Linked DNA regions of Coturnix japonica. The protein of the gene in region 3 interacts with the protein of the main gene of each other region in a pairwise test. Links are inferred from orthologs where the notes say so. Each region holds a gene or a part of one and is shown on either strand. Other genes may lie near its edges.

The links.
Region 1: the proteins of UBE2W (region 3) and MARCHF5 interact in binary tests that used the Homo sapiens proteins (3 or more experiments, as listed by UniProt). The link is inferred for Coturnix japonica from reciprocal best matches to the Homo sapiens genes UBE2W and MARCHF5.
Region 2: the proteins of UBE2W (region 3) and AMFR interact in a two-hybrid assay, tested with the Homo sapiens proteins (2 studies listed by BioGRID and IntAct). The link is inferred for Coturnix japonica from reciprocal best matches to the Homo sapiens genes UBE2W and AMFR.
Region 4: the proteins of UBE2W (region 3) and RNF26 interact in a two-hybrid assay, tested with the Homo sapiens proteins (2 studies listed by BioGRID and IntAct). The link is inferred for Coturnix japonica from reciprocal best matches to the Homo sapiens genes UBE2W and RNF26.
Region 5: the proteins of UBE2W (region 3) and RNF111 interact in a two-hybrid assay, tested with the Homo sapiens proteins (2 studies listed by BioGRID and IntAct). The link is inferred for Coturnix japonica from reciprocal best matches to the Homo sapiens genes UBE2W and RNF111.

Annotation. Positions count from the first base shown.
Region 1 is NC_029521.1:18,091,740-18,095,959, forward strand, and holds the start of MARCHF5 (E3 ubiquitin-protein ligase MARCH5), read right to left. Parts: upstream 2,813-4,220; 5' UTR 2,714-2,812; exon of another isoform or gene 2,637-2,713; 5' UTR 2,536-2,636; coding exon 2,492-2,535; intron 506-2,491; exon of another isoform or gene 491-505; coding exon of another isoform or gene 480-490; intron 1-479. UniProt on the Homo sapiens protein: Mitochondrial E3 ubiquitin-protein ligase that plays a crucial role in the control of mitochondrial morphology by acting as a positive regulator of mitochondrial fission and as an important regulator of immune response.
Region 2 is NC_029526.1:500,539-503,652, forward strand, and holds the end of AMFR (E3 ubiquitin-protein ligase AMFR), read right to left. Parts: intron 3,000-3,114; coding exon 2,815-2,999; intron 1,993-2,814; coding exon 1,845-1,992; 3' UTR 505-1,844; downstream 1-504. UniProt on the Homo sapiens protein: E3 ubiquitin-protein ligase that mediates the polyubiquitination of lysine and cysteine residues on target proteins, such as CD3D, CYP3A4, CFTR, INSIG1, SOAT2/ACAT2 and APOB for proteasomal degradation.
Region 3 is NC_029517.1:106,911,475-106,914,343, forward strand, and holds the end of UBE2W (ubiquitin-conjugating enzyme E2 W), read right to left. Parts: intron 1,386-2,869; coding exon of another isoform or gene 1,294-1,385; exon of another isoform or gene 1,290-1,293; intron 1,284-1,289; coding exon 1,153-1,283; 3' UTR 1,146-1,152; exon of another isoform or gene 1,026-1,145; intron 655-1,025; 3' UTR 514-654; downstream 1-513. UniProt on the Homo sapiens protein: Accepts ubiquitin from the E1 complex and catalyzes its covalent attachment to other proteins.
Region 4 is NC_029539.1:3,580,214-3,584,168, forward strand, and holds the start of RNF26 (E3 ubiquitin-protein ligase RNF26), read right to left. Parts: upstream 2,804-3,955; 5' UTR 2,389-2,803; coding exon 991-2,388; 3' UTR 1-990. UniProt on the Homo sapiens protein: E3 ubiquitin-protein ligase that plays a key role in endosome organization by retaining vesicles in the perinuclear cloud.
Region 5 is NC_029525.1:5,847,852-5,851,367, forward strand, and holds part of RNF111 (E3 ubiquitin-protein ligase Arkadia), read right to left. Parts: intron 2,522-3,516; coding exon 2,358-2,521; intron 1,206-2,357; coding exon 1,008-1,205; intron 1-1,007. UniProt on the Homo sapiens protein: E3 ubiquitin-protein ligase. Required for mesoderm patterning during embryonic development. Acts as an enhancer of the transcriptional responses of the SMAD2/SMAD3 effectors, which are activated downstream of BMP.

The DNA.
Region 1 (4,220 bases), on a different chromosome or scaffold from region 3:
TAACTTATTCCTGATACAGGAGTACTTCACCATTCTGCGAATTCTCAGTGATACCACCTTGGTATCAGAAAAAAAACCTTTTTCCCTCCCAGTCAGCTTTATTCACTGAAAAGCTGTTTTCTGCATCATTCACTATGAGATTTCAATTTGATTTAACAGTACGTGCTCTGTGTGAAATGATAATACATTAACTCATAAGCTTTTCTATATGCACTTGTTACTGCTACCCAGGGCAATAGCTACCTGTCATTAGCATCAATGATAACAGCATGAATGAAAAGGAACTTCTGCCCTTCAGAATCCCTACAAAGGAGTCATTCACAGGTTACGTCTCCAGATGAAAGGTTTTTCTTGGTCATCACTACATACAACATAAAAGCAGTTATGTATGATCCCGAGAAACATCAGATGAAGGAACAAGACAGTTTTTTTGTAATATAACCACTCTCCATAACCCCAGTATGTAATAGACAACTTACACTGACTGCATTTTGAAGTCTTGTTTGCTCCAAGATCCTTCTACTTGTACTGTCCTGAGTCCTGAATTAAAGACAAATCCTTAATACTTGCACCTTCTCACCATCTCCATTTCCTGTCTCCCACAATGCTGTTTCTATATTCAGTCTAACAAGCTTTCATGAAAGCTGCAGTCTTTCTTCTTACCTTCTTCTATGCTTCCTAAGTACTTCAAACGTTTCCCCTATTGTCCTTGTTGCTAAGCAAGCCAGGAACACCTTCCAATTATTTTAGATTACCGACTCTTATACCAAATTTACTAGGAAGTCTTTTGAAAGGGCCAGATACACATCCTTCCAGCTTTGCGAAACTGTGGTTCGCAAGCACATTAAACATGCATCAAACCCCATATACCCATCATATCCAACTGAAGAACAGTGAACTGGTTTGGCTGCTAGTTAACCAGCTTCCTTTTTAATGAACACTCACCTAAACCTCGCATGACTTCTTTCACTACTTTCTACATACAATTTGGATTTAACAGTTTTTGCACTAACAGTAAGCTTTGCTAATATTGGGAAGACCTTCAAATCTGTTCTAGGACAGAAGAAACATGGAAGAAGAAGAAAAAAAGGACATTTAAAACATGTAACCTTAAAAGAAAACAAACTGTAAAGACATCACAAAAGATTCTAGATTCTTGTGTGTCACACTCCCAAATGCTGATACAAGCACAAAAGAAAAGCTTCAGTTTTATTAGGCAGCGTCATCTAATTACATCAATTTACTGTTTGCACCGCAAATAAATACCACCTCAGACATTTCCCACTGAATTAGAACCTCATGTTATGTTAAAATAGCTACAGACAGCAGGGCAGCCATTCAGAACATAATGATTTCTTAGGAATCCAAAATAATGAAATATTACATATCATCACCTGAAGACCACAAACTTCAGGATGAAGATGAAAATTAGTTTCAGATGTGCAACATTCTTCATGATCCTCCTCATTCTTCTTCCTTTCTACACAAGTTTTCCCATCTTCTCCTGCTCACTTGCCATCCTTCACCATTTTCCTCTCTATTGTCGACATTCACAGGAAGTAAAACAGAATACTTCCCTTGTAGTGCTTTAAAAAACAACAAACTTATCTCCTTTCTGTTACTTCTTGCAAAAACGTTTCCAATTCCTGACCCTTAGCCTCCTTAACATCACTTCCCCAGGTTTTCTAAAACATCAGAAGCTTTCCCTCTTCCTCAATCCTCCAACAACAGACTTTTAGTCATTTTCCACACTGGACTGAAGTTCCTTATCCAGGCAGTGCAAGCTCTGCCCTTGCCTCCCAGAGTTTGCCTCTCCATTACCTGCCTGACGACAGGCTGTATTTTCCCCCCTCCCCCTCCAAGTTCTTTGTGATTTAAGTGCGATACGTTTATCAGTAGAGGATAGATTCCTTATGGGTTCCGACCTTCAGAAGCAGCAGGCAGTCACACCCCCGGCACTAACAGCCCGGTTGTTGTGTCGCCTATACGTGCAGGTCTCAAGAGCTTCCTGGATGACTCAATGCGCCTCAGTGGGAATCTCAAATTCTCAGCAGAACAAGGTGAAAGTGCTTCGTGTGCAAATCAACGTAAACAGAGGAAATAAGCTTACAAAGAGCGAATGCCTTTTCTCCCCTAGAATTAAGTCAGAGGGGTTTACAGGTCGGACTTCTTAGCAGCAATTAAAAAAAAAAAAAAAAAGAAACTACAGACTCCTCCAAAGCCGACAAAACCAGTAACAAAGCCCACCAGGCCCGGCTAAATACACCTCGCCTTTCAAGGCTTTCAGGAACGCACCAAACGCTTCCCATGGCCGCGTTACATCCCGCAGCCCTCGCACACCGCGCCGTTCTCCCCGCTCCAGCCCCGCCACGCACTCCACGCTGACGTACGGCCGAGCTCAACGCGGCCCGCAGCACCCGGACATCAAAAGCCCACAGACACGCTACCGCCCCCGGCCGGCCTGAGCCTCCCGGAGCCGCTCCTCCCGTACCTGTCCATGCTCTGCGGCAGCGCCAGGCCCGTCTGCTCCGACATCGTTACGGCAGCGGAAGGCACGGGCCTAGCCGAGGCCCCGCAGCCTGACAAAGGGGCCCAGCGCGGGGGGGGCCGCGCGTCACGCAGGGAGACAGCAGGATGACAGCAGGATAACAGCAGGATAACAGCAGGATAACAGCAGGATAACAGCAGGATAACAGCAGGATAACAGCAGGATAACAGCAGGATAACAGCAGGATAACAGCAGCGCCGTGCAGCGAGGCCGCCCCCCGCCACGCGCCTCCCTCGGCGGGCGGGACGCGGCGCGCGGAGGGCGCTACGCACACACGGCGCGGCCCGAGCCGCCGCGGTGCCGAGCTGAAAGGCGGCGGGGCCTCTGTGAGGTAAAGGCCGAGCGCGACTGCGACGCCCGTCCCCGCCCTCTTCCCAGCGCGACTGCGCCCGGGAGGCGGTCGAGACGGACGGGCACGCCGGGAAGTGTAGTCCCGCCGCCTCCGGGGGCTTAAAGGTCCCGCGAGGCTCCGCTGCCCCCTCGCCCGGTTCCCTCCCTATGCCGCTTCTCGCTGCCGCCGCCTAACTGCTGCCCGGCACCGCGCGCGGGGCAGGTAGGGGCCGCGCTCGCGTGGAGGGCTCCGATGGGGGACAGTCAGCACCGCGCCCGGCCCCGCGCCCTCGGCAACGGCCGCTCCGGTCACTGAGCGGGGAGCGGCGGGAAGGGCCCTCGCGCCTCCGCTCTCGCTCACACGGAGCGGCCGTTGCGCTCCGCAGCTCCTCCCTCACGGCGGCGGCCGAGAGAACGGAGCGGCGCCGCTGCTGCGGGCGAGGAGGTGGGAGGGAGCTGCCGCCGCCCGTTCGGCAGGTGCAGGCTCTGCCCTGGGGGAAGCGAGGCCCCGCGCGGTGTTGGGGAGCTGCTGCGATCGCGGTGTGTGCTTGTAGAGGCTGCGGTGAGGGAAGTGCCCGGCACCTCTGGATGCGGCCCTTCTGAAAGGCCTGGCGGCCGCTGGTACCTTGAGTGAGCTGTGGGGCAGCTGGTGGTAGCGCTCGTAAGCATGGAGAAGTCCTTTAGGGCTTTGAAAATCCATTGTATGTTCCGAAGTCAAGACACGGTAGCACAGTATAAGAAGCTGGAATTTTAGAGTCTGAGAAGTCTTTATGGAACAAAGGGGTGGACAACACCCAAGAGTTGCTGCTGTTTGTCTCCCTAGGGCCCTCTTCCACTCCTCCATCAGCCCAAATGTGCAGGTATTGGCGCACATGGAGAGGTTCTGCATCGTGCTGTGTTCCCTGTGCAAAGAGCAGTGTTGTTCTTTGCAGAGATGCTCACTACATTTCCAGGTCCTAGGAAAGTTGGTTGGTAAAGATCAGCCTTAGGTCTTCCTTATCGAGTTTTGATGATGGTTGTGTACGTATATCTGAGAACTGCAGCTTTGCTGCATGTAACCAGTCCTCAGAATCTTGTGTAATTTGTATCTTGCTCTGTTTTTTTTTTACTTTATTTGCTGTACACAGTGGTACCTTTCTGGGCCAGCTCCACATCTGTGCACCCTCTTCGGTGCACATCAGTTCTGGCTTGAGCTGAGCAGGATTAGCCTGGTGGCTCTGTACAGCTGCAGGGATCAGGCAGGACAGGAAGGAGACTGCACAGAATGTACTTCATCCTTTGACCCTGCTGTCGTAGCTAAGGGAAAATTAGTCTGGTTTTGAGTCTTTGGTGGGAGAAAAAT
Region 2 (3,114 bases), on a different chromosome or scaffold from region 3:
TATTATTCCCTAATTTCCATCTCATCCCTATTACTGTCCCGTTAGAGGACCCCAAGGGCTCATTTCTGTCTCTATCACCTCCACGTAATTCGCTCAGGGTGGGATTCAGCCCACGCGATCACCGCGGCCGGGCTCTGCGGGAGCGCCCAGCTGCGGGCACGGCCGCCCCCCAGCGGCTGCTCGGGGCACAGGAACGGCTGCGCTGCGGGACGGGGATGCGCGGGGATGCACTGCTGGAGCTGTGGGTGTCCCTGCTCAGTGCAGGGAGTGCGAGCAGACCCTGCAAGGTCCCATCCAACTCAAACCACTCTGTGATTCTGATTCCGCACCCCCCAGCCAAGCTCTGCCCGCTCCACACCCATCAGCTCTCATCCCCCCAGCCGGCTCTCCAACAGCCCCAAACCCATTTTATTTCCAGTCCCCCCACACATTGTTCCTCTTCCATCTCCCCCTTCACGCCACACTTGGATTCTCATCGTACAGGAACACACAGGACTCAGCAAACAATTTCCAACACTGATCAAGATTTTATTTCATTTCTTTAAACAGTAAAACCAAACAGCCGGGTTCTGAGCAAACCCCATCATCTCAAAAGAAAAACCCCTGGCAGTTCACACACAGCATCGCAAGGTAAGGCTGCCCAGAAAGGTTCACTGCAATCAATTACTCTCACCTAAACATCGAGGCCTTTCCTTAAACCCACCTTCAAACCTCCCTAAAGACCGACAGTAAAAAACAGATACCAATGATTCTAGATAATACTGGGCTCCTTCTAAAGGGCGGCGGAACAAGGATTCACTCATCAGGAATTAAACAAGTCACAGCTGTGTAAAATCCCACTCTGTAAGCTTAGCAGTGCTGGTTCCGGGTGTACGTGGGGTCAGAAATCCCTTAGAAAGATGCCGGGTGAGCAGATGGGGCTGCACAGTGCACAAGGGTCACCTGCCCTCCCGGTGCTTCTGTCTAATGGCAGAGCTGTGGGGTTAAAAATGACATAGAAAGCGTGATATCAGACATCAGAGCCAGCTCCAGCCTTCAAGTCCGTGCTGCTCCGCAGTCCAAAACAGGTGGGCTCCTCAATGGGACTCCATCAGCTTTTTAACACCGAATTCTGGGGGCTGCAGCCTCCCCTGTGCCCCCCCCAATTCTCCACTCTGCTCCTCCCCGCTTCTCACTTCTTTCTGGCTCTAAAAGGAAGATAGCGCAGCCCTGGGGAGCGAGCAGAACTACAGGCCAAGTGCCAAGAGCCCAGCAACGGTGAGCAAAGTGCTGTATGCATCGCTGTGAATCAGAGCAGCACTGCACAATTAGCAACTCCATTTTTTCCTATGTTGCGTTGCCAGACAGCTTCCACCCGCCTACAAACGGGCTTCCCAGCAGCACCGCAGCCAACCGACGCAGCTCCTTCACTCGGGAGGTGAGCAGGGAGCAGCTGCTCCTCTAACACAGGGTTTGCTGCCAACCCCTGCGCTTCCTTCCCCTCTTGCAGCCATGCCCTCCGACCTGCACCCACAGCTGCTCAATTCCAACTCATCTCCCTCAGCTTCCGTTGTGCAGTCAGGCCAACGCCTCGTGCAAAGAGAAATCGCACTGGTGGTTCAGATTGCTTTTGTCTGTGGAGGGGATCAACATCACATAGAAAACATTACAAAAAAGGTTAATTTGTCAGCTGTCCAAACATGATTAGACCACATGCTTTATACAGCAGAGCGGCAGCCAGCTCACTCGGCAGCGCTCAACTCTGAAGTGACACTTTCCTGCTGGTATAGAAATGCAGGGGTTTTGTGTTTCATTTCTTTTATTCAACATTGCTCACGAGGAGGAGGAAGGAGGAGCAGTGAGCGCTATGAGTTCTGCTGCATCTGCAGTCTCCGCTCGGCGGCGGCTGCCAGCGTCCTGCGGCGCAGCGTGACTGGGTCAGCGGAGGTTCCCTCGGGCACTGAGGGCTTCTCTGTGCTCAGATCTTCATCTGAGGTCTTGTTCAAGTAACGCCTGCAAGAGGAGAAAAGGGAGATGAGTGAGAGCAGCCCAATCTGTTTGGCTCCAGAAAACAGTCGGTGCTTTCAGGAAACAAGGCAGGAGCTGAAGCGCATCCAAAGCTAGAAAATACTTTGCATGGACACACTAATGATGCACTCAGACTCTGAGACCTGAGGTGAGTTACTGACTGGGTCCCACCACTGCACCATGCTGAAGTGCAGGCAGAACCTGCAGCTCCCTCCATGAGGACAGGGAAGGCGCTGACAGGTGGGCACTGGGGCTGCAAAGTGCCATATCTACATTCAATACTAGTTGAGCTGGGAGTAAGAGTTGGCCACGCTCACTTTGGCAGTGCTGACCTGCTCATCAGAAGCTCTTCTGGTCTGTCAGCCCTACGCAGCTCAATACCTGCTCTTGTTCTGTATTTGGAAAGTGGTGACCGACAGTGAGCTCAGCTGCAGCAGCACACAGCACAGGCTGACACCCAGGCAGGCAGGTTGGCTAGAAGTGTACTAGGAGTCTCAGCACAAGCAGTATTTCCTCACTTACTAGAAGCTGAATCTAAAGCTCACTGAAGCTGGAAAAATCACCCTATGAGCTCTGATCCACCAATTGAGAGGCTGTGTGCACGCTGCAACACAAGACGCTGTTTCAGAACTGGGTTTATCAGAGGCACAGGTCTGTCTTAAAGAGCACCTGAGCGTGTTGCAGCAATGTATTCATCCCTCCTAATACTCTTTGCACCACCCCAGTCTTTCAGTCATAATCCATGTAACAGCCATTCTGGGAGATTAAAACCGAGTGGCCAGGCTGCAGCTGTAGGAAGGAACATACTTTCGAGCTTGCTGCAACAAGTCCTCCTTCCGCTGAACCAACATGCGCTGCCTCTCATCAGCTGACTTGGAAAAGCGACTTCCCCTGGCCTCAAAATCTTCTGCTTCACTGGGTTCTGCCTCCACTTCGCTCAGTTCTCCCATTTCTTCCAGTCTTGAGTTGAGTTCCAGTGGCACTCTTTTGGTCTAAGAGAAAAAATGGGGAAGTTAGGAAAAGAGGGAGTTTTCTTTTTCAGTTAAACATCTCAAGTCTGTGCAAAATTTGCCACCAGGGCTTCTTCACATCAAACTAACAAGCTGC
Region 3 (2,869 bases):
AAGCGGCAGCTGTCTGTCACACGCCGAGCTGCTGCTGCTGCCTTTCACCTCCTCCGAGCGCAGCCCCGCAGCGCTTTACCTCTCCTTGCCTCCCGTTTTCCCCTGGCCCTGACCCGCCCCCTATCGGCAGCCCGGCCCGGCCCGACGCCGCACCGGGAGCTGTTGCCTGCTCGCTGCCCGGCGGTGAGGAACGACAGGAGAACAGCTTTTGGAATTGGGTTTTACTCATCTCGCTCTGCCTCCTCGCGTGTAACAACAGCCTCGCTATAAGGCGTGACCCCTCGCCTCTCCCAGGCAGGAGTGGTGAGAGGAAGGCTGAATGTAATCAACGCGACTGATGGCAGCATCTCAGTCCACGCGGATTACGTGATGTCCGATCAAACCACGGTTCCTTGCAGCAACGCACGTGGTGAAGAGGAGGGCAGCTGCTACAGCTGATTGCCCTTATGGAGCAGCAGCCACAGGCCCCGAAGCCCCAAGCAGCAGCAGTGTCAAAACCTTGGCTTCCCAGCCAGGAGCTGCCCAGAAAGGTTGCAAAGCCCTCTGCACTCACTGCTGCTGTTGGAGGGCTTCCACCCAACAGCAACACTATGGTTCTATTACCAAAGCATCATCCCTAGAGCCATCGTTCGGGGCTTTGCTTGTCACATAGGGCTGGGCAGGGAAAAACAAAATGGAAAGCACTTTGTAATGCCATTTCTCAGCAATGAAACCTTCCTTTAGCTGAGAAATAAGTAATAACTTTATTTTTCTAAGGCATGGGTGAAATCAATTTCTGACTATCTTGAAACATCAGCTGTATCAAATAGATATTCTTTGAAACCAGCTGGAAACCACACAGGGGGTTGGGGCACCAGCTGAGAGCAAAGAACATAATGGATGGATTGAGCCCAACCAGCTTCCCAGATGCTGGGGGTATAATCACACACTAATAGTGCACCCCAAACGCGTGTTGCATAAGCCTGTGTATTAGAGGCAGTGATTTACACACCAAACACACATACTGAGGCTTAGTGACAGGATGGTGTTGTGAGTATCCAGGCGACAGCGAGGTTTTATTCACGCCAACAGAACGCTACAGTGACATAATTTGTTTAAATACACTTTGGGGAATGCAGCATTTGCTAAGGCAGCTTTATACACACCCTTGATTCAGCTGTGGTAGCTTGTCATCCTTCCCTTCTCATCCTTCCGTTGTTTAGTTTTCTGACATTCCTTACCTTGTACTTCATTTAAGAGTTGAGCTGAAGAACACAGCAGGATATTCCTTACGTACTCTTCTGCTGTAATATATCAATGGGGAATAACGCAAATACTTCTTGTGAGGCTACTACGAAAGCTTTTGCACAAAAGCAGGTCATTTAGAAGATGGGTCATGACAGATTCTGTAAGAGATGAGTCATTACTTACATTTTCTATACCTTTATGACTGAGGTTTTTTTTCCTCCTACTATAAGATACAGGATAAAAGCCAGTCAGTACCCCCCAGTAAGAACAACTTAACAGAATCATTACAAATCCTGATTTTTGACAGTATGAGGTGCATGGTTCTTGCATACATCCACTCTGCTTCATACACATACAATGAGAGTGCTGTGACTTGCCCTACACTTTGTCACCATCAAATGTGTTTTTACCCCTCAGCAGATCCCACAGGGCCCTCAAAAAAGCCCACCACACAGCAATGTACTTGACAAGAGAGGGACAGAACCACAGAAGCAGGTGCATGTTTTCAACCTATACAATAGAGCAGTAGAATTGGTTGGAAGGGATTTCTGGATTTCATCTGCTCTACAGCCTCTCAACTCCTTTTAAAGTCGGGGCGATGTTAAAGCTGGCTGTGCCTTTGAATCCAGCAGATTGCTCAGGGCCTCACTCGGTTTAGTTCTCTCAGAGTGGTCAGGCACTGGAATGGCTGCCCAGGGAGATGGTGGAGTCACCATCCCTGGCAATGTTCAAGAAGCGTCTGGATGAGGAGCTATGAGATATGGTTTAGAGGTTCTCTGTAGGTATGGTAAAGGGAGGATGGTTGGACTAGATGATCTTGTAGGTCCTTTCCAACCTTGTCATTCTATGATTCTATGAAAACACCCACGGGTGAAGATTTTAAATCCCCTTTTTGACACCTTTTCATTACAGGCTTTGACAAAATATTCATCCTTAGCTCTACTTTTAAAATGTACATTCACGAACAACGTGTGTTACACAAGTGCCTAAAACCATTATAAAACCCTGTGTAGGACACAGAATGACAGACATGAACAAACCATGGCACGACTGAGTAGTTTGCAAATACAATACACAGCTTTCTCAGCTAATGGAAACTGTTCTTCATATTCCAATAAAGACTTCTAACAACTCACTGATCCTGTCTCATGATTCACATCTAAAACGTGAGTTCCCCACAGCAGATGAACCACACAATCACTTCCAGAATCAAAAAGAATTACAACTAATGCTTGTCAGCATACATTCAATGTTCTTCATCACTTCTAATTAAATCGCACAAGTCTCAGGTCCCCCATTCCTTTATAAATATCGTTATTCGAGAACACACCACCAAGGTGAATCCAAACAAAATGATGTAATGTCTTTACAGCCACCAGCTTGCATCTAATTTTCTCCACACAAAGGTATGACAGGCAGCTCTTCATTAGTTGTCCCACTGACCCAAATCCTGATGCTTTGCATCTCCCTGAAATTATTTGTTCCTGTTGTACTCATAGACCAGCGCTGGAAATAATCAAGCCCTGCCTAAATAAATGCTTTACCCTTTTAATAACGTTAGCAAAAATTGAAAAATTACACCAGCAAATTATTTTATAGTCCGTAGCCGTAATTGCACTCAGACATTAAGAAAACTACACCA
Region 4 (3,955 bases), on a different chromosome or scaffold from region 3:
AGCTGTGGTCCTGGTACTGCCCCGTGCACACAAGGTCTGTAGTACTTATGTCTGGAGCTGGAATGTCTCAGTGGGCTTCAAGAAGGATTGGGGTGTCCCCTTGTCTCCCAAAGAGCCACCCCTTCCTGCCAGCCCAGCCTGGGATGTAGCAAATGCTCTCCAGCCTTAGGGAGCCTGAGGGCTGCTCAGGTTCCCCAGGCAGCAGGTAACAAACTCCCTTCATGCAAGTAACACGGTTTGTGCTTGCTGGTCTTGCATAGGTGTGGAAGCAGCAGCAGTACTGAGCTCTGCAGTCAGCTGTTCTGCAGGGAGATCGTGCTCATTGTGGCTCCTAATGGCAAGGGAAAACTGGGACACCAAAGCCGTGGTGGCTGGGACATTAAGGTGCCTCAGAAACCCTGCTGTCCTCCAGCTGAGAGCTGGGCTCAGCCCTTTGGTAGAAAAGCCTAAAAAGCTCAAGTGTGCTTTGCTAGAGCCTTGCAAAAGGGGCATGCAAATCCTTGCCCTGCGAGCTGCCCCACTTAAATGGCAGGAGGAAGAAAGAGTGCAAATGCAGTCCACCAGGTAACTTTTTGGCCAAGCCTTGGTAGCAAAACACTCCTTTGCCTTGCACCAGTCCCAGTAATTCCCAAGGCAGCACAGCCTTTATCCTTCCATCAGTTTTGGCTAGGAGGAACCAGATCTGTGCTTTGTTTCAGATCAAGGCAACAGGCCTTGAAGCAGAAGTTGTCAAATACAGAAACAAAAAACCCCAACCTTTCAGCCTGCTGCAGAGATCAGCTGCTGTGCTTGTTAGCAGGAGCTACAGCCTAGTTGTACACTTAACATGGCTGACAGACACCTCTGACAGCCCCTTGGTCCTTCAGCACCATCCTTAGTTCTTTGGAAACAACTCAGGACAGCCCTGGGAAGAGCCATCCTGCACTCCAGCATGAGGCAGAGGCGTCTTCAATCACCTGTAAAACAACCCGTATTACCCACCCCCACAGTTCACAAGTACACGTTGAGCGTCTGGAGGATCATCTGGCGGCACAGCGGGCAGTTGCGTTGGTAGATCGCCTGCTGCAGGAGGACTTCTGTGCACTCCTGGCACAGGCACAGGTGCCTGCAGGGCAGAAGCAGGACTGTCTTGGTTTGATCTTGACAGATGACGCATTTCTTACGTTCCTCTTGTTCTTTCAGAAGCATCCAGGGGTCGTTGTCCGGAGCTCCTGCTCCATCCCCAGCTGTTGCATTCAGCTGCTCTCTCCTTGGTGCTTTCCCCCAGGAGGTGCTCGGCTCATCCCTGGATGCCTGGAGACGCTGCCCAGACACAGCGCTTCGATTCAGAGCTGGATGTGCCTGCGGGACCTGCTCTGCATCTGGCTGTTCGTCCTGCTGTGCTGCAGCATGGTTGTCCTCTTCCAGCATCAACCTGCCCAGCACCTGAGCCGCCCCTCGTCTCTCGCTCTCTCTGTTCATCGTTCTGCCCCCTCGGCTCCAGTTGGTCACCTGCAGGCTCCAGTCCACCAACCTGCGCCACGTCTGCGAGGTCATGGCCATGCCCATCATCAGGACAGCCAGCTGGTACAGCCTCCACACCTCCTGCTGCAGCCGGGGATACGCAGGCAGCGTATGGAAGTAGCCAAACACATGGCCCAGAAACGTCAGGAGCAGCCCGGGGTTGAAGATAACAGCGCTGACCACAATGATGGCGACGAGCAAAGCCAACCCATAGACGTTGACAAAGAAGATGCCGATGAGCAGCTCGGTGGTGGAGACCAGCAGCTCAAAAGCCAGTTGACAGGGAGACCAGAGCAAGATGGATACAGCAATAGCACTACTAGAAACATGTGCCAGGAAGGCAGCCAACAACTCACCAACACGCAACACCGGGCTGGTCACCGCATCCCATAGAGCCAACAGCAACGTGAACAAATTCTGCGTGCCCAGCAAACACAAATTAACCACGCTATTAACCAGATATGCCAATAAACTGATCCCAATGGCCAACCCTTCCCCTGCCTCTCTCAATACAGCCTGCCCCGAGCCCAGCAGGCTGCACACCCCTCTCTGCAGCATCTCCCTGCCCCTCAATCCCATGTGTGTTAGCAGGTGACCCAACACCTTCAGCCCCTCCATAACGTTACAGCAGCCCCTCAGCATCCCACCCACCCCCTGCACGACCCCCAGCACCAACCCACACAATCCATTTAACAACCCGTTCCAACAAGCCCATATCCCAGCTGTGGCAGCTCCGGGGAGGCTGGAAGCGGTGGTGAATAACCAGATTAAGGCTGTGACCAACGAGGATACGAGGAAGAAGTTGAGATCCAGCAGTAGGAGCAGAAGATCCAGCGCCAGGCGTAGGCCGCGCAGCAGCAGCAGCACCAGCTCCATGGCCGCCATCAGCTGGGCCGCACTGCTATGGGCGCCGCCATCTTGTCGTGGGCGGGGACTCGGTGGTTGGGTCGGATTTAAAGGGCCAGCACCCTATTAACAGCCCGCCCCCCCCCCCCATGGAGCTGTCATGAGTGTGATGAGTTGGTGCCGGTCTCAGCGCTTTCTGGTTGTCCAACACAGGGTTAGTCAAGGCGGTGCTGCTCGCTCCATATCCTGTACAGGTCTCAGAATAATCCCAAGGCCAAGGTTTGGCCATGGAGTAGTTCAGCAGTTCCTGCCAGCTTCCAGGCTGGGCATCCCCAGGAGACACTGCCTGTACAGTGACGCCAGCCAGAGGAACACCCAGCATCGTGCCCAAGGCTTTTTAAGGAAGGACAGAGCAAGTGGAGCAGATGATCCATAAGAAAGACATGCAAGGCCCTGGGCAGTGCCTGGACATGGCGGCAGCCCCTTGAAGTAGCCCCCCCCCTTCCCCATGCAGCCCCCTTGCACTGCATAGCAAAGCCATGTGTCTGTCTATCTGTCTATCTATCTGTCTGTCTGTCCTGCTTGTTTTCAGGTCCGTTCCCTCCCTGCCTGCCTGGTTTCAGGGGTTTTTGGGTGTGTGCCGGTGCCCACGTGACGGAACCGAGATGCTTTGAGCATTTATGGTAATGTTTGGATTTCTTATTGCTTTACCAGGAGGCAAAAAAAAGACACAGTAGGTGGGGGGGGGGGGTGACACAGAGCTGGGTGTGCTGTGCTCCATTCATTCCTCACCCCATGCCATGGGGAGGGGCCTTGCAAGCCCCATGCACCTGTGTCCCCTTCCCTGCTGCTGTTGGAGAGGAGGGGGGGGCACACAGAAGGGCCAAGAGTTGCAAGGAATGGTGTCTATGGGGCTTATATGGGTTCTGTGGGGCCCATATGGGGTTGTGGGGCCTGTATGGGGTCTATGGGGCCCATATGGGGTTGTGGGGCCTGTATGGGGTCTATGGGGCCTGTATGGGGTCTATGGGGCCCATATGGGGTCTATGGGGCCCATATGGGATCTGTGGGGCCCATATGGGGTTGTGGGGCCTGTATGGGGTTGTGGGGCCTGTATGGGGTCTATGGGGCCTGTATGGGGTTGTGGGGCCTGTATGGGGTTGTGGGGCCCATATGGGGTTGTGGGGCCTGTATGGGGTTGTGGGGCCTGTATGGGGTCTATGGGGCTCATATGGGGTTGTGGGGCCTCTATGGGGTCTGTGGGGCCCATATAGGTTCTATGGGGTCAATACGGGGTTGTGGGGTATGACCCCTCTTTGGCAGCCCCCCCTTTCCCCCAGCTGTCCCCACACTTGCTGGAGGTGTGGGCACGATGCCACCATCACCCTCCCAGCTGTGCACAGCAGCTGCCTGGAGCAGGGCGGGCTCCTGCTGCTCAGACCTCATTGCACTCATTGACTCAGGGCTGTGTTTGTACCTTTGGGGTGTAAGAATCACAGTGTGGGTGCATCATACCCGGGGCTATGCTGGCACCCAGCCCTGCTGTGAGGCTGCATCATTGCCTTCCCAGCTCTGAGCTCACCGCAGCGTGTCGGGAAGCAGCAGC
Region 5 (3,516 bases), on a different chromosome or scaffold from region 3:
CAATGACTTGGATGAGGGAATAGAGTGCACTGTCAGCAAGTTTGCTGATGACACAAAACTGGGAGGAGTGGCTGACATGCCAGAAGGCTGTGCTGCCATCCAGCAAGACCTAGACAGTCTGGAGAGTTGGACAGGGGGACATTTAATGAAATTTAACAAGGCAAGCATAGAGTCTTGTATCTGGGAAAGAAAAATTCCAAATACCAGTATAGGTTGGGGAATGACCTGTCGGAGGAGCAGGGTAAAGGAAAGTGACCTGGGGGGTCCTGGTGGAGAGCAGGATGACCACAAGCCAGCACTGCACCCCTGTGGCCAAGAAGGCCAATAGCATCCTGTGGTGCATTAGAAGGGCTGCAGTCAGTAGGTCTAGAAGGTTCTCCTCTCCCTCTACACTGCCTTGGTTAGACCACATCTGGAATACTGTGTCCCATTCTAGGTCCCTCAGTTCAAGAAGAAGGAACTGCTTGAGAGAGTCCAGAACCCACAAAGAGGATTAAGGGAGTAGCTTGGAGGAGACTGAGGGGTGACCTCATTAATGTTTATAAATATGTAAAGGATGTGTGTCAGGAGGATGGAGCCAGGCTCTTCTCAGTGACATCCAATGACAGGACAAGGGGGCAATGTGTGCAGACTGGAATACAAAAGGTTCCACATAAATGTGAGAAAAAATATCTTCATGGTGAGATTAATGTCACACTGGAATGGGGTGCCCAGACAGGTTGTGGGGTCTCCTTCTCTGAAGACATTCAAAACCTGCCTGGACGCATTCCTGGACCCAATCTAGGTGTTCCTGCTCCAGCAGAAGGACAGGACTAGGTGATCTTTCAAGGTACCTTCTAACTGCTGACATCCTGTGTTTCTATGAAATCAGTCATCTTTTCCAGATTCTTTTCCTCTCCGCTTTTCACAGTCACTCTTAACTTTTCACCGCTATCTGTTTAACCTCCTCTACTGCCCTTGTACCTGGCAGGTAATAAACCAGTTTAGAAAGCTCTCTTATTCTGTACCTCCAGCTGAAGTACCAGCAGTGCTGCTATTGGGAAGACTAGAAGTTGTCTCTGGTGCTGCAGAGGGCTGGCTAGTGGAGACGTTTGGAGCTGCATCAGAGGCCTGCTCTGAGGTAGACGTACTAGAACTGTTACTGGAAGCAGAACTCACGACCTGCGGCTCCACTCTAGCTGACGTGGTTGGCACAACTGTTGGCTCTGGCAGGAAAAAGAAAAGTTTTCAAGTTCTGTAAACTTTCAAAGTTGTTAAGATTTTTTTAAATTGATATCTGTAGGTTTAAAATTCATACAATACATGCTAGTCTTGCCAGGTGCTGAGAAAGTCAGAATATAAAAATGAGTATAAAATCGAAAAGTTAATTGTTTAACTTGTGTGTGCACATATGCTCACATATTTCCTGAAGTCTTTCATAAATAACAGGCAAACTACTCTATGATTACGTTATTCTATGACTCCTTACCACCTTCCAATGCCTACAAAGCACAGGAAAGCTTTTGGATAACTAAGCAAGGTTGTAAAACATCTAAACTAACTGAACTGCCTTATAAGCTTCAGCCATTCTTGACACACTGTATTACAGGCACCAGCAAGATAAACTTTTTTTCTAGTCTCAATACACATTAAGCAGTCAATACATTTTACAGGATGAGGGAAAATACACTACTTGATAAATGCTGCTCTCGACCACACGTCTGTGCACAGGCTACATTTTTTTTAAAAGATATTTTGAGGCGCAATTCAAATTCAGTTTCAAAAAATCTGCTTTTGACTATATTTGAAATTTCTTATTACTGACAGAGTAATGACATGCCTAAGAATAGAAGACGTAGTAAGATGATCACTTTTTTTCTAGTAAAAATACGTGTTGCAAGACACTGGCTTCTGACACACTCAGAGAGGGAACTGTCACAAATGAAAGTTCCTTTTAAAAGTTAATACATACTCCCTTCTAAACAACCACCACCACCACATCAGATTCAGACTTCTTCCACAGCTTTTGATAATGCCTGGAAATTGCTCTGACAATTATCATCATCACTAAGCTTGAATGCCAAACTTAGTGGATTTTAATGGTAGGAAACCACAGAACATTACAATTTCAGAAGCATAGAGCGTGCTTTACTAGCTCAGTTCTTTATGGACTACTATTACACAAAGTTTTTCCGCTAAATGGTACAACAGGGTTAATAGAATTCTATCCTATTCCATTTGTCATGGTTTTATAACTTTTGGTTACCGATATCCTGCATCATATCATCATGTAGCACACTGGGAGTTAAAGTGTTAATGCTCCACTGATCATCTCGCTCCTAAAAAAGGAAGAGACTTCAGAGACCAATGTGACTTACCATCTTCATCCACCGTAAGGTCCACTACCTCTGCAGCGTTCTGTCTCAGTGGCTGTATGACTGTGGAAATCCTGCTGCGGTTCCGCTGTTCTTGAGGCCGTGCAGCATGAGTACTAGAGCTTTGTCCCCACTGGGATCTTGAATGTCCAAGAGTTGAACGAGACCTTAAAAACACATCGCCTTAAGTACTGACTCAAACCTTACATTTACTATTTTTTCTCCTCAATGTTTCAGAAGCTATTTCATTTTTTCCCCCTTTTTTAATAACAAAAAAGCATTTTGGTTATGCTGAAATACAAGTCTAGTGAATGTGGCATGGCAGGGTATTTAGAAGCACTATTTTAGACTTTACCAGATAACTTAATGGAAAGTGTCTAACATGTAATCCTATGAACTAAGTACTGGTATTTTATTAACAAAAAAAACAACAAACTGTGAAACCCTACAGCATCAGTCATGCAGTAGCTATACCTAATGTTACTACTTTGTTAGAGAAATATAAGACACTCTGAATTCTACACTACCCCTATGCAGTCTGAAACAGCAGATCTATGAATGGTGATAGAAGAGCAAAGATGATAAAATCCTGTAAGAATTAAGTCCTTCTGAGTATTAATTTGTGGCAGTGTTTTCAGAGGATCATTTCTGAACTTTTAAGGTCCAGAGATTGCTTTGGACATTTATCTTGTGAATATTACTTCCCTTGTCCCCTCTAAGAATAAACACAGCTTTGTGTAACATTTAACAAAGCTCAAGTGAAATGCAGCCTGAGAAAAGGAAATCCTACGCCTGTACCATTCCTAAGGAAATGGGTGATTTTTTTTTTCCTGCAGACATTCTACTTAATTTAGTCATACCAATCCGAATGCTCAAATCAATGATGCTTTGAAGTTTAAGCTAAGAGATTACTATCTTTAATTAGGAAAGTGATATTTCACTGCAGGATATTTACCACCGACTCTCCTATACACACCAAATAGCTCCATTTTCCAATTTGGAAAAACAACATACTCAAACTTCAGTAACTCAGCAGTGAAGAAAAGGGAATGACTAAAACAAAAACAAACAAAACCCACTGCACAAATCACCATGGAGTTCAGTCAACACTTCTATTCTGCCTGTATTCCTTTCACTTCTCTAGCAAGCCATTTTCTCAAGC